Arabidopsis thaliana: one gene and its partner. The protein of the gene in region 2 purifies or fractionates together with the protein of the main gene of each other region. This does not show direct contact. Each region holds a gene or a part of one and is shown on either strand. Other genes may lie near its edges.

Region 1 (7,124 bases), on a different chromosome or scaffold from region 2:
AAGCTGGGCCGATCTTTCAAATCATACCTTTCTCGGCCTTTTGGCTAAGATCAAGTGTAGTATCTGTTCTTATCAGTTTAATATCTGATATGTGGGCCATCGGCCCACACGATATTAACTCTATTTTTTAAGGGAGGAAGCCCATTAAGGTAGCTTGCTACCTGGGTTTCCGCGAGTCGCCCATGCGTTGCACTACTGCACGGGCTTGGCTCAACCCGCCAATCGAATAGTAAAATGATTTACTTTACTTTATAATTTCCAAATTATTGATATAAGCGTAGTTAATAAAAACTTTTTGACGGAGCTAAACACTAATTAACCTACGTCTTCTCGACAGAGGACAAACTCAAATTCGTAGGTGAGAAAAATTCGATTTTGGAATTGTTCATATTCTAGGTTTGAGCTTAATTGGATATATCCTTGGTGATTGGTTGATTTGGATTCGATTAGGTTTAAGTATAGGTTTTGATATTTGGATTTTGGAAGAAAAAGAGTGATGAGTCGTGGGAATTACAAGAACCCGTGCTTGACCATGCATCAGCCATGGGCATCACTTCTCGTCCATGGTATCAAACGCATCGAAGGCAGATCCTGGCCTTCCCCAATTCGAGGTAAAAAAAACCCTAATTTTGAACTCAGGGATTCGACTGAGATTTAATTTGAATTTGAAACACTGTGATAATTGCATAACTTTGAAGAAGAAGATGATGTTGTTTTTAAACATGTAAATAGGCCGTTTATGGATTCATGCTGCAAGTAAAGTACCTGATGAAGCTACTATCAAAGCAATGGAAGAGTTTTACCAACAAATTTATGCTGTTGATGGGATCACTGATATTCAATTCCCCCAACATTACCCTGTTTCAAGACTAATTGGTATCGTTGTTTACTAATCTCCATATTTGAAAGTCTAAGTTCCATGTTATAGTATAAGCAAGACCTGATTTTGCTTGGAACATATTTGAATACGGTTTCGTTGGTATAGGATGTGTTGAGGTTGTTGGATGTGTCACCTCCGATGAGCTTCAGAACTGGGATGCTTTACCTCAAGGGGTACAACAATTTTCCTTATTACTGTGTTCTATTCTTTGACATTGAAAACAGCTCGTTATCGATGATTCTTTAGTATAATAAGCAAAAACCTCAACTGTTGTTTTGGTATGTAATAGGTGAGGCTTGAAGGACAAACTAACTTTTGTTGGCTATGTGAGAAGCCACAGGTGAAAGTCACTTCATCTTTTGGCTGTTACTGTTTTGTTTAGATTGACTTATTTGACATTTGATTCTGTGAACTCTTCCAGAAACTGATTATTCCATTTGAGATGCGTGGGTACCAGGGCGTCTATAACTTAGAGAATAAGGTAATCTTGCTGTTCTTCAAAGCCTAGGGATTGGTGGGTTCTTGTTGTAGTATAAATTAGTACCAGTTACTTACTGTATTTCTAAATGAAACAGATTTATGTAGCAGCAGCTAGAGGTCTTATGCCTTCTCAAAACTCTTTTAAGGTGAAATTCCCTCTTCCTGACCCAAAAGACCCGTTTTCCTTAAAACCTGGTTCTATTCCTTGTACAATGCAAGAGAAGAAAGAACTTGATTCAAAGCAAGTTACCAGCCTCACAGCTGCAATCAAGCAAGTTACCAGCCTCACAGCTGCAATCGCCGGTGCAAAAGCAGCGGCGACACAATTTTCTAAGAAGGGACAAAGTCTCCAAACAAATAATATATTTGATTACACAACAAGAAGCAAGAGCAAAGTTATTGAAGATGAAGCAGCAGAATCCCTAGATAACCCGGTTCTTGGTTCTGGTGGAACGTCTGACCGTACTTATAGAACAAGAAGCAAGAACAGAGGCACACAGATGGGTGAAGAAGTATGTAGTGAAAGCAGCAACAGCAGCAGCAAAGTTGAATCTAGTCAAAGAAGTGCAGTCACAAAGAGTGAGGACAGGAATACAAGAATTGGTGAAAGAAGGTTTGATCCTGGATCTGCCCGGGTACGTTTATTATCTTACATTAAGCGATAATTACAACAATAATTGTTGACTTTGTTGTTGTCTGATTTTATTTCACATGTGGAATTATTTCAGATCATGGCCGCTGCAATTAGGAACTTGAAGCCACCTTCTTGATCTAATGCGTCAAGGTTGTACCATATTTTGCATTCTTTCTAAAACATGTTCATTTCAAAGTTTGAGAAGTTCGTTTTAGAGTTAGTTTATAGGTTTATTGTATACACATTCAATTTAACTTATATGAGAGAATAATCATGTGGACTAATAAATACACAGAGCAATGAGTTTTGAGTAGACTGTTTAGTCGAATTTTACTAAATTACTATATTTTGGTCAGATTTAGAAGAATGTTTATATTTTTGGGGGGTTTGTCCCACATCGGTAGTTTCAAAATATCAGTTGTGTATATATTTAGTCGAAAACGAAAACAAGTAACAATAGTCATTGGACAAAGTGAATGGGTCACATGGGCTTGTCTAAGTTCCGACCCAGGAAAGTCCCCGGGCCACTTTTCGCAGAGATGCGGCCTCGGTAACGAGAGAATCATGCGGTGGAGAGATTCTATAAGCTGAGACGCGTGTGTGGAGCTTCTGTTGTCTCTCCGTCGATGACATCATGGCCGTTCGATTCACGACAGTTATTCACTTGGTCCTCATCGGACTAACTGAACGGGGCTTATGTTCCAATGACAACAATTTTTTTCTTTTTGAGTAATCCCGGTTTACTCAACTTACTCAACCGTACCGGTGGAAGATTCCTTACAGTAATACTAAAGCTTTTGGCTTAGCTCATTTTGGTGATGATAACAGTAATATCATAAGTACATAATAAATAATTGAAACTTTTGTAAGTATCCTCATTTTTTCAGAAAGTAAATAATATCAAATGTATTGAGAAAACAATAAATGATCATTTTTTTATTTTAATTAGACTCAAAATTAAATAACTGGAAATTAAAAAACCAAATAAACTGAAAATTATTATCTAAAATACAGTAACTAAAAATTTGTCTTGTCGATAAGTCGGATAAAATTTATTCATATAAATATTTAGTCATATACAAGTAAAATAATACTACAAATAATACACAATCAGTCGATGTTATATACAATAAAATTATAGATTTATAAAGGAAAAAATTATCCGGCGATATATCTGATGTCAATCTCTAGTGGGTTAGCATTTTTATTGAAAAATTGTATTGCTTAGTTTTTTTATTGTTATATTGTTAGTGAATTAAAATGGTACTTTGGTATTTTCATATATAGACTTTTTGAAAATAAAATCTTAGATTTTTTCTAACAAGAGTTACCAAAAATATTTTGGAATTAAATGAGCCGGCGACATAGAAGAATAGAGAGGGTTAAATTGAAAATTCATAAAGTAGGAAAAAATTAGGGTTAGACTCGATCATTCATAGCTGCGACTATTCTCTGCTCTTTCTACATTTTCTCATTTTCTCTTGGGCTACTTTTCGACTACTAACAAATCCAACGATGAGGGGATTGGTGAACAAGCTCGTGTCCAGATCTCTCTCCATCTCCGGGAAATGGCAGAACCAACAGCTTCGTCGTCTCAACATCCACGAGTATCAGGTTCTTCTTCTCTTCATTTCCATTTGATAGTTGCCTAGATTCGCTTTTGTCAAGTCAGAATTCGAGTACGATCTGTGTCTTTGTCTGTTGTTTCTGTGTTGATCCACTGATTGATTTGTGGTTGATAGAATTCTCTGGGTTTAGGATAATGTAAAGTTTGTATTGTGATTCTGATACAACCAGGGAGCTGAATTGATGGGGAAATATGGAGTTAATGTGCCGAAAGGAGTAGCTGCTTCTTCGTTGGAAGAAGTTAAAAAGGCTATTCAAGATGTTTTCCCTAATGAAAGCGAGGTAAATTCAGTGAGGGATTCGATTCTAATCTCTATTATTAGTTGTTGTCTAATTGAAAGAGTGTCATTTTCGTGTGATACAGTTGGTTGTTAAGAGCCAGATTTTGGCTGGTGGAAGAGGTCTTGGAACATTCAAGAGTGGTCTTAAGGGTGGTGTTCACATTGTTAAACGTGATGAGGCTGAAGAGATTGCTGGTATTGTACAGGATTTCTTGTTTGTGGCTTTCTGGAGTCTGTTTTTTGTTGTTGTTGTACAAGTTATTGATCTATTTCAAATCTTTATTACTTGTAGGAAAGATGCTAGGACAAGTACTTGTCACCAAGCAAACTGGTCCTCAAGGCAAAGTAGTTAGCAAGGTTTGTTATCTGTTATTCATGATTGGTGTTTTTTCTTCTATTATTGTCACTGCTCTTGCACCTTTGTTTATTCATTGTGTCTTCATTTTGAGCAGGTTTACTTGTGTGAGAAATTGTCACTCGTCAATGAGATGTACTTTTCCATTATTCTGGACCGTAAATCTGCTGGACCGGTATGCTACTACGCAAATGATGAGCTGCTGCTATTCATTTCCCTACTTCTAGGCATGCTGTTTTCATACCCTGCTGTAATATCTAAAACGCTTTCCTTTCCTATATCAGTTGATCATTGCCTGTAAAAAGGGTGGTACCAGTATTGAAGATCTTGCTGAGAAGTTCCCTGACATGATCATCAAGGTTGTTACTGTTTGATTCGTATTTGGTGGTCTGATCTCCAGTAAATATCATTCTGAGATTCTTTCTCATGCGGGTTTTTGACACCTCAAGTCATGGTTTTGCGTAGGTACCAATTGATGTATTTGCAGGAATCACTGATGAAGATGCTGCTAAGGTTGTGGATGGTCTGGCTCCCAAAGCTGCTGACAGAAAAGATTCGATTGAACAAGTGAAGAAGCTATACGAACTCTTCCGCAAGACTGACTGCACAATGTTGGAAGTGAGTTCTCTCTCACTGTCTTTTTTCTACACACTTCTTCAGTTATAAATATCTTTTGTTGAACCTCCAAATTTCTCTTGTAGATCAATCCCCTTGCGGAGACATCAACTAATCAATTGGTAGCTGCTGATGCCAAATTGAACTTCGATGATAATGCTGCGTTCCGACAAAAAGAGGTTTTCGCCATGCGTGATCCAACACAGGAGGATCCACGAGAGGTCTCTGTCTATCTCTTGTATCATCAAGAAAGCCATTGTTATGTTAATTCGATAGGATGTTAAAAGGAATAGTGTGTTGTGTCTCATAGGTGGCTGCTGCTAAAGTTGACCTGAACTACATCGGTTTAGATGGAGAGATTGGTTGCATGGTGAATGGTGCTGGATTGGCCATGGCAACCATGGACATCATTAAATTACACGGTGGAACACCCGCCAATTTCCTTGACGTTGGTGGAAATGCTTCTGAGCACCAGGTAAAAGGAACCTTCTTTCTTTCTTCACTTTTGGGAATCATTGGAATGAAAACCAATTTTAATAGAGGTTTGTGTCAAAAAATAAGGTGGTGGAAGCGTTTAAGATACTGACATCGGACGATAAAGTGAAAGCAATCTTGGTGAACATATTTGGTGGGATAATGAAATGTGATGTGATTGCTAGTGGAATCGTGAACGCTGCAAAAGAGGTGAGTGAGAAACAACCTTGTTACCATAATATTTCATATATTCATGATTGAAAATAAATCCGAGTGTTTGTGTGGAATGGCGAGGACAGGTCGCATTGAAAGTGCCAGTGGTGGTTCGTCTAGAAGGAACGAATGTTGAGCAGGGAAAGAGAATCCTCAAGGAAAGTGGAATGAAACTCATAACAGCTGATGATTTGGATGATGCAGCTGAGAAAGCGGTTAAAGCTTTAGCTCACTAATCTCTCTATATATACCAAAAGCCGGTTTGTTAATTGTTTTGTGGTTGACGCCCAATTTACACTTTCTTGCGGATATCATTTCCTCAAACAGATCAATAATGAACTGGTCTCCTTTTTTTGTGTGATCCATCCAAAGAGATTCAAATCAGAATTCTCAATATCTTTTTGTATTTAACCAACTCATATGGTTGATACTAGGGTTTCAAGTTTATCTCATACGTACTGTTCCTATCATGAATAAAAATCGTTTTTGTGGGAAGCCACACTATAGCTGTCACTGAAACAACAAAATTAATCCCTCTCTCTACAAAAGGCTTTCACAAAACAGAGCTGTCCTCTGTTTCCAATTTAACGGTCAAAACGATAAACTTATTTTTTGATAGAATGTTAATTATATTACCAAAAGGAAAGAAGATTATTTACAAAAACTTTTGACCAGGATTGCAGCTCCATTGTTGTAGTGATGCAGCTCTATTGCTGAGGGCTATGATGAAGAGGAAAATCACACTAACACTACTCAGCTCTTGTCCAAGAAGTTTTTATTCATATATAGGGTTTCTAGTAAAGTGAAAGATGCTGTTGATTTGTTCTGTAAGAATGCTCTTTTATATTTATGATCGACGTCAATGATGATCTATGTTCAAGTGATTTGGATGATAGCACCGAAAAATATTTGTCTAAATTCTCCTTGCATAGTTAATAATAGTACAAGAATGAACAAGAAAATCTAACAATTGGTGTGTTGTGTTCAATGAAAATTAGCCATTTGGAGCTAGCAGCAAAGTCTCTATATATGTCGTCTCTCCTTTCAAAAATCATCTCTATTGTCGAATTGAGGCATAGATCTCACAGAACCAGTCTCAGACATATATTCCGACATGTTATCGACATCAGATCTTCTTGTCGATCTTGATGACCCTCCATTAACCGCGGTTTCTTTCGTCGACTTCTTCTTCCTCCTAGATTTCTTTGGAATTTCCGGTAATCCACTAGGCCAAGAAGACAACTCGTCTTGTTCTTCAGTGGCTTCCTTTGGTCTCCTCGACGATGACGATGTCCCTTTGTTAGAAGAGCGACGTTTAGTTTTGTCTGATGATTTGTCTTTTGTCGGAGAACCTTTCTCGGACGCTGCTTTCCTCGTAGATTTTGGTAGGTTTGGCAAATCTCTAGACCGACCACCATATTCCGACATACATTTTATGGAGGAATCATCTTCTCCGACTCCTTCAGCAGATTCGAATCCCCCGCCGGAGTTGAACTCAGTCATCTTTCAAATCACATAACATTAACCAAATCAATTCGACATTTTCTGAAAACGTTTTAGGTCAAA
Region 2 (6,414 bases):
GCTGCTAATGCAGGATTATCCTCAATCCTTAGGTCTCTTCTAAACCAAACTATAGTCTTTTTGTCCATCTTCATAGTTATTATGATCACAGATGAATCAAAGATCAAATCAGCTAAAATTCCACACTCTAACCAAGTTGTTCCATGATTTCAGACCTCAACCTCCTCCAGAGAATAGTTCTATAACAATAACAGAGAATGATTGATAAGAAATCTGTAATCTTTGAGTCCTAAAATCCAAAATAATCTACAAAAAAACATAACAGAGAGAGATTCGATTTAATCCTAATCCTTTTAAACAGAGCAAGCAAGAGAAATTCAATTGAGAGAAACAAAAATCAAAAGCTGGAAACTTTTTACCAGAACTCAAATCAGAGTGGATATCTCTCGGCGACAAAGATCTTCGAATCAAAGACTGTGAAAGTTATTTTAGTGACTTGACTCTTCTTTCTTCCTATTTTGGGTATGCAAAGTTAAAGATTTGAGATCTAACGGAGACCAAAAACAATACCCATATGAGAGTATGAATGTTAATAATTGTGCAATATAATAATCACAACGAGACAAAAGTAGACAACTTTATCCACAACTAGTGGCGTGTGTTCTTATAATAGCGTTTTTTTTACCGACATCTCATCTTTGATTTGCTCATCTACGATTTTATCGGGATCATGTACGAACTTTCTCTTGTGAGATATTTTTTTATAAGAGATCGAATTTTGTTTGAATGTTGAGTGGGCCTAAAGCGCAGTGAAGATACTCTTATCTTCTTATGCTAGAGAAAAAAGTTTTTTAACGTTGGGGCCGAGGACGGTGGTTCATGAACTCGATTCTGGTCATGCCCACTTTTGTAGAATCCATTAAATATCTAAAGTCTATATGGCTTAAAGGTGAGAACTTGATTCTCATTAGTCATTACCAAGTAGAATCTATAATCAAAATCCACTGCTTTTACTTTACAAAAGGAAAAAGGTAAAGATAAAAAAGTTCTCTCAAACTTTGAATCCTCGTATACCCCTTATTAATGGACCATTGCCTACGGTTTATGATTCGATTTCGGATAGTCGTAAAATAGAAGCAATCTAAGTTTTTTGGATGTATATTTTGGTGTCAACTTGGTGTTTGGTTATAAAATATTTGGGTGAAGAAAAATAGAAGTAAAATTAAAATAATCCACATTAGAATTTCAGTTTAATCTAGTGATTTGGTTTTGGTATGAATCTGCAAGAGTAGCATTTCTTTTTGCAATTGCAACACAATAACACCATTCCTCACAAATCACAATTGCACAAACCCATTATCGAAGAGCTCATCAATTTTGGGCTAATTGCTAAAGCAGAAAAAAATAATCGCAAAAGATAACCATGCAACTGCCAATTTTCTTCTTTTCATGGGTAAACCAAATCAGACACATTGAAAAAAACGATATCCTGGTTTAGAAACAGACCAGGGACAATACTCATCAAAGAGACCAAAGAGGTTATAAAACAGTGTTTGGAGATCTTTCAAACACACTTCTTATTCGGACAAAGCCCTGAAAGGCTTTAACTGATCTCACACCTTATAGATGAAAATTTTGCTCCAGAAGGGTTTAAGAGAGGCATGAGTACGCCAAGTCCTTCTCTTCCTTGAGCTCCTCTGCAGTCAAATCCATCTTCTTCCTTGATACTTCATCAATCGGAAGGCCTAACCAAACAAAATACACATTAGGGTCTGCAGAATCTAGGATTTCATAATTGATGAGCATTTGAGTTTGTAAGTGCGTCATATTTACCTTGGACAATACTCCAGTCTCCATTGCGACAAGTTACAGGGAAGGAGTAGATAAGTCCTGATGGAACGCTGTAAGAGCCATCGGAGTATACTCCCATGGAAACGAACGTACCCTGACAATTTGAATCAAAGAAAGAACTCATATTAGATTAACTGTTACAAAAAAACAGCACTGCAAATAACGGGGAAGAGTTTTATTATGAACCTCTGGAGTTCCAAGGACCCAGTCACGGATGTGGTCACAAGCAGAGCTAGCAGCAGAGAGCGCACTAGACAACTTCCTCGCCTTGATGATTGCAGCTCCACGTTGTTGAACTGTAGAGATAAATTCTCCGTCCAACCTACAGAATGAGCAATATATTTAAGTGAAACTAGATTTTGCTTCCAGAGAAGAGAAAGGGTCTTAAGTTCTATGGCATGTTATACATACCATGCATCGTCCTTGACGAGCTCACGGACAGGCTTCTCTCCAGACGAGGTCTGCACTTTAGCATGGTTGACATCTGGGTACTGTGAGGATGAGTGGTTTCCCCAGATGATCACGTTCTTAACATCAGACACTGGCACGCTCAACCTCTCAGAGATCTGTCCCAAAGCCCTGTTGTGGTCAAGCCTTGTCAAACAAGAGATGTTCTTTTCAGGGATTGATGGTGCAAATTCCTTGAGGATCAATGCGTTGGTGTTTGCCGGGTTGGCCACAACAAGAACCTGAAAAAAAAAAGACAAAACGAGAGCGAATGTGTGAGCAAGAGAGTCGTAAACTAGAACCCAATAGAGAACACAAAGCATCTGTTACACTCCAATGAACAGAGAAGATTGGATGCAGTGGCTTCATTTAACTTAAAAAGCAAACAGATCGTATCACCTTGCAGTTAGGAGCGGCATGCTTCTCCAAGGCAGCAGCCTGAGACTTGTAGATGGAAACATTCTTGGACATCACATCCTTCCTCTCCATACCTTCTTTCCTCGGGAAACCACCAACCATAACAGCAACATTGACTCCAGTACATCCCTCAACGGCATCAGTTGTAGCAACAACACCTGATAATAATACACATCAAATATTCATCTTCTCCTTTCCCACTTATACAAAACAACTTATGACACGGAATGCAAATATCCACAGCAAAACAAAACCCTTAACTACCTTTAAGAAGAGGGAAAGCAGCATCGATCAACTCCATCTTAACACCGTTCAAAGCTTCAGCAGCTGGAGGAATATCCAACATGTGGAGGATAACAGGTTGGTCAGCACCAAGCATGATACCCCTTGCAATCATAGGTACAAGAGCATATCCGATTTGTCCTGCATAATCACAATCAATAGTTACTTTCAGTAGCTGAGGAGATCTAAAGTCACAACTTAAACTCTATCCAACTATATAAACAACGGTTTCTAAATCAGAGTTCGATCCATGAAATAACTTTTACTAAAATTAGATATGCGACCAACTCAATCAATCGTTGGTCAGCGTTGAATCCAACGGAACAAGAGTTGACCTATATTTCATTGATCTATGGAACAACCAGATACTATGCAGAGATCTGACTAGATTCAGCAAGCGATTCACTAGCCAGAGATCTAGAAGTTACACGATCTAATCGGATATAGATGAAAGTTATACCTGCAGCTCCAGTAACGAGCACACGAACTGGTTCTTTCGCCATCGGATCTAGATCGGAGATTATCGCCGGAAAACGGATCGAATTTGGGATATTCGACTTTTGAGAGAGCGTAGAGTCAGCTTTTGTCTGACCGTGAAGCTCACTCTTGCGTATTTATCGAAGATATCGAAGGATGTACCGCCACGTCATCTAATATAATCATATTATCTCGAAGAAATAAATCGAAATCTGAGATTAGACCTATCATATTAGGAAAACAAGATATTATTCAATATATATTTTTGACTCTAATGGGCCTCTTACATTAGGCCCAAATCGTTTAGCCCAGAGTATTCAAATACGTGAATCAAAACAGTAGATAATGGTGGCGATAAGGCGAGAAGAACCACGTCCACGACAACCTCCGGTATGGCGTCATCTTACGTCACCTACTCAACGGTCACTCCGGTGGTCAGCAGCAGTAACATTCGAGGAGTCTTTCGTTTGGCATTCACGCGCCGCCGTGTTACTCTATCGCCGAATGCTCGGAGGAGAATATTGAGAGTTTCGGCGAAAGCGTCGACGAAGAATGCTATGGAGTATAGGAAATTAGGAGATTCCGATCTCAACATCAGCGAAGTTACTATGGGCACTGTAAGAACAATCTCTCTTTATCTCCTGCAATTGTAGTCCATTGTTCAATTTTGAAGTTTTGATGAAATTTGGAATTTCAGATGACATTTGGGGAGCAAAATACTGAGAAAGAATCTCATGAGATGCTGAGTTATGCAATTGAAGAGGGCATCAATTGCATTGACACTGCTGAAGCTGTGAGTTTTTATCTTCATTGTTCATCTTTCTCTTCTTGCCTGGTGAATTTGATTGCAAGTGTTTATGTGAATGTTTTATACTTTATATATAATTCTGGTGAATTTAGCACTGTTGTGTTTAGCTTTCTGGAATCTGCTTAGTCTGTGGTAAATTTTCAAGTATCATTGTTTATTTCCAGTATCCCATACCGATGAAGAAGGAGACGCAAGGTAAAACGGATCTTTATATCAGTAGCTGGTTGAAGTCTCAGCAACGTGACAAGGTATCAACCATTTATCATACTTTGGATGCATATTGGTCACGAATGTATATGATATCAGCAAAACCTAATCGAAGTTATAAAAATTGATATTGATGTTCATTGTTTCTGTATACAGATAGTTTTGGCAACTAAAGTATGTGGGTACTCAGAAAGGTCAGCTTACATAAGGGACAGTGGTGAGATTCTGCGTGTAGATGCTGCTAATATCAAAGAAAGTGTTGAGAAAAGTCTTAAGCGCCTTGGAACTGATTACATTGACTTGCTTCAAATACACTGGTAACATCGCCTTATTTTTGCTTTATGTCTTAACTCATATTCTACATTGTTTGAGCAAGTGTCTTTCTATTTCATGCGCAAAATATTTCGTTTTTCATCATCAAATGTCAGAAAATCATGACACTGATCTTTTTTTCAGTCCAGGCCAGATCGATACGTACCACTCTTCGGTGATTTTTACTATGAAACGTCGAAATGGAGACCTAGTGTGCCATTCGCTGAGCAACTAAGAGCCTTTCAGGATCTCATAGTTGAAGGAAAGGTAGTGCTACTCCTTAAAAATCAGATGTTATATTGAGTTATATAACCTCAAACACAGAGTTTTGAAGTGTTCCTCGAATTCTGCAACAGGTTCGCTATATCGGTGTCTCGAATGAAACTTCATACGGAGTGACGGAGTTTGTTAACACAGCAAAACTCGAAGGACTACCAAAGATTGTGAGCATCCAGAATGGTTACAGCTTGCTAGTTAGATGTCGGTATGAAGGTAAATCTTTCTAGAATACCTTGAGAGCAAGTGTGTCGGAGGAGCATGTTCTAAACTCTTTTGTTTTGGGTTAAAACCACAGTTGATCTGGTAGAAGTATGCCACCCAAAAAATTGCAATGTTGGCTTGCTTGCTTATTCCCCTCTTGGAGGCGGCTCGTTGTCTGGGAAATACTTGGCTACAGACCAAGAAGCTACAAAAAATGCAAGGCTGAATCTTTTCCCAGGATATATGGAACGTTACAAGGGATCACTAGCCAAGGTTTCTTCTTGATCCAACTATGCTTACTTCTTCTTATGTCGTAAAACAATTTAAGAAACAGTATTAGCTCGAATCTAGTTGTAAAGCCATATTCGTAAAAGTGTTTTGAGGTCAATTTTATCTTTGTTCTGATTTCAGGAAGCAACCATACAATACGTTGAGGTGGCGAAGAAGTACGGTTTAACTCCGGTTGAGTTAGCACTCGGGTTTGTACGTGACAGGCCCTTTGTGACGAGCACGATCATCGGGGCCACATCGGTAAAACAACTTAAAGAAGACATTGATGCTTTTCTGATGACGGAGCGGCCGTTTTCGCAGGAAGTTATGGCAGACATTGACGCCGTTTTCAAGAGGTTCAAAGACCCTTCTTTCGTTTGAAAGAAAAGAAGGTTTCTCATGAGTTTGTGAGCTCACGGTGAAAGTCCATAAGTTATATATAGCTTGATTTGCTTTCTTACAGTTGTTTTGATATGACGGATATACAGAACTCCCATGTAATGACGTACCACAGTTGCGCATAACGTTTGAACGCTTTTATTGATCTATATAATGGACCTTAAATCAAATCCAGTTTATCCTTTAAGCCTCATATCGGACATGTAAAAATTAAAAAACAAATTGATGGGTTTGGGCCGGTCTCGACAGCCCAGCAAGAATAAAACTTTTTTAATTGTAACACGTGTTGCGGACAAGGTAACTGTGATTTAACCGTTGAGATGTCAGAACGGGAACGGTAACTTAGAAACGGTAACTTACTTCAAAATTCAGAAACTATCCGTTACTACTTTTTCTCAACGGTAAAGAAAGCTTCTCTATATATAGTAATACACACAGCCTCCGATATCGTTAAAAACATAATCCAAAAGATGTAAATGGAAACTTTAAAAACTCTCGTCTCTTCTTGTCCCTCTCTCTTTCTT

What was found. The genes of interacting proteins can lie anywhere in the genome.
Region 1: the proteins of c-NAD-MDH1 (region 2) and AT2G20420 fractionate together in Arabidopsis thaliana (co-fractionation; one large-scale study listed by BioGRID). This does not show direct contact.

The regions. Positions count from the first base shown.
Region 1 is NC_003071.7:8,802,065-8,809,188, forward strand, and holds AT2G20420 (ATP citrate lyase (ACL) family protein), read left to right. Parts: upstream 1-3,277; 5' UTR 3,278-3,509; coding exon 3,510-3,608; intron 3,609-3,791; coding exon 3,792-3,902; intron 3,903-3,984; coding exon 3,985-4,096; intron 4,097-4,193; coding exon 4,194-4,258; intron 4,259-4,353; coding exon 4,354-4,431; intron 4,432-4,540; coding exon 4,541-4,615; intron 4,616-4,721; coding exon 4,722-4,874; intron 4,875-4,957; coding exon 4,958-5,092; intron 5,093-5,181; coding exon 5,182-5,346; intron 5,347-5,432; coding exon 5,433-5,555; intron 5,556-5,644; coding exon 5,645-5,794; 3' UTR 5,795-6,107; downstream 6,108-7,124. Other genes in the region: AT2G20410 (RNA-binding ASCH domain protein), read left to right, coding at 497-611, 733-876, 986-1,053, 1,170-1,220, 1,302-1,361, 1,456-1,995, 2,089-2,130; RIC6 (ROP-interactive CRIB motif-containing protein 6), read right to left, coding at 6,603-7,061. UniProt on the Arabidopsis thaliana protein: Succinyl-CoA synthetase functions in the citric acid cycle (TCA), coupling the hydrolysis of succinyl-CoA to the synthesis of ATP and thus represents the only step of substrate-level phosphorylation in the TCA.
Region 2 is NC_003070.9:1,187,828-1,194,241, forward strand, and holds c-NAD-MDH1 (Lactate/malate dehydrogenase family protein), read right to left. Parts: upstream 3,632-6,414; 5' UTR 3,441-3,631; coding exon 3,398-3,440; intron 3,079-3,397; coding exon 2,920-3,078; intron 2,814-2,919; coding exon 2,638-2,813; intron 2,481-2,637; coding exon 2,203-2,480; intron 2,114-2,202; coding exon 1,978-2,113; intron 1,886-1,977; coding exon 1,774-1,885; intron 1,686-1,773; coding exon 1,591-1,685; 3' UTR 1,168-1,590; downstream 1-1,167. Other genes in the region: CRY2 (cryptochrome 2), read right to left, coding at 1-74; AT1G04420 (NAD(P)-linked oxidoreductase superfamily protein), read left to right, coding at 3,807-4,031, 4,112-4,207, 4,387-4,470, 4,586-4,746, 4,891-5,008, 5,098-5,233, 5,316-5,494, 5,633-5,872. UniProt on the Arabidopsis thaliana protein: Catalyzes a reversible NAD-dependent dehydrogenase reaction involved in central metabolism and redox homeostasis between organellar compartments.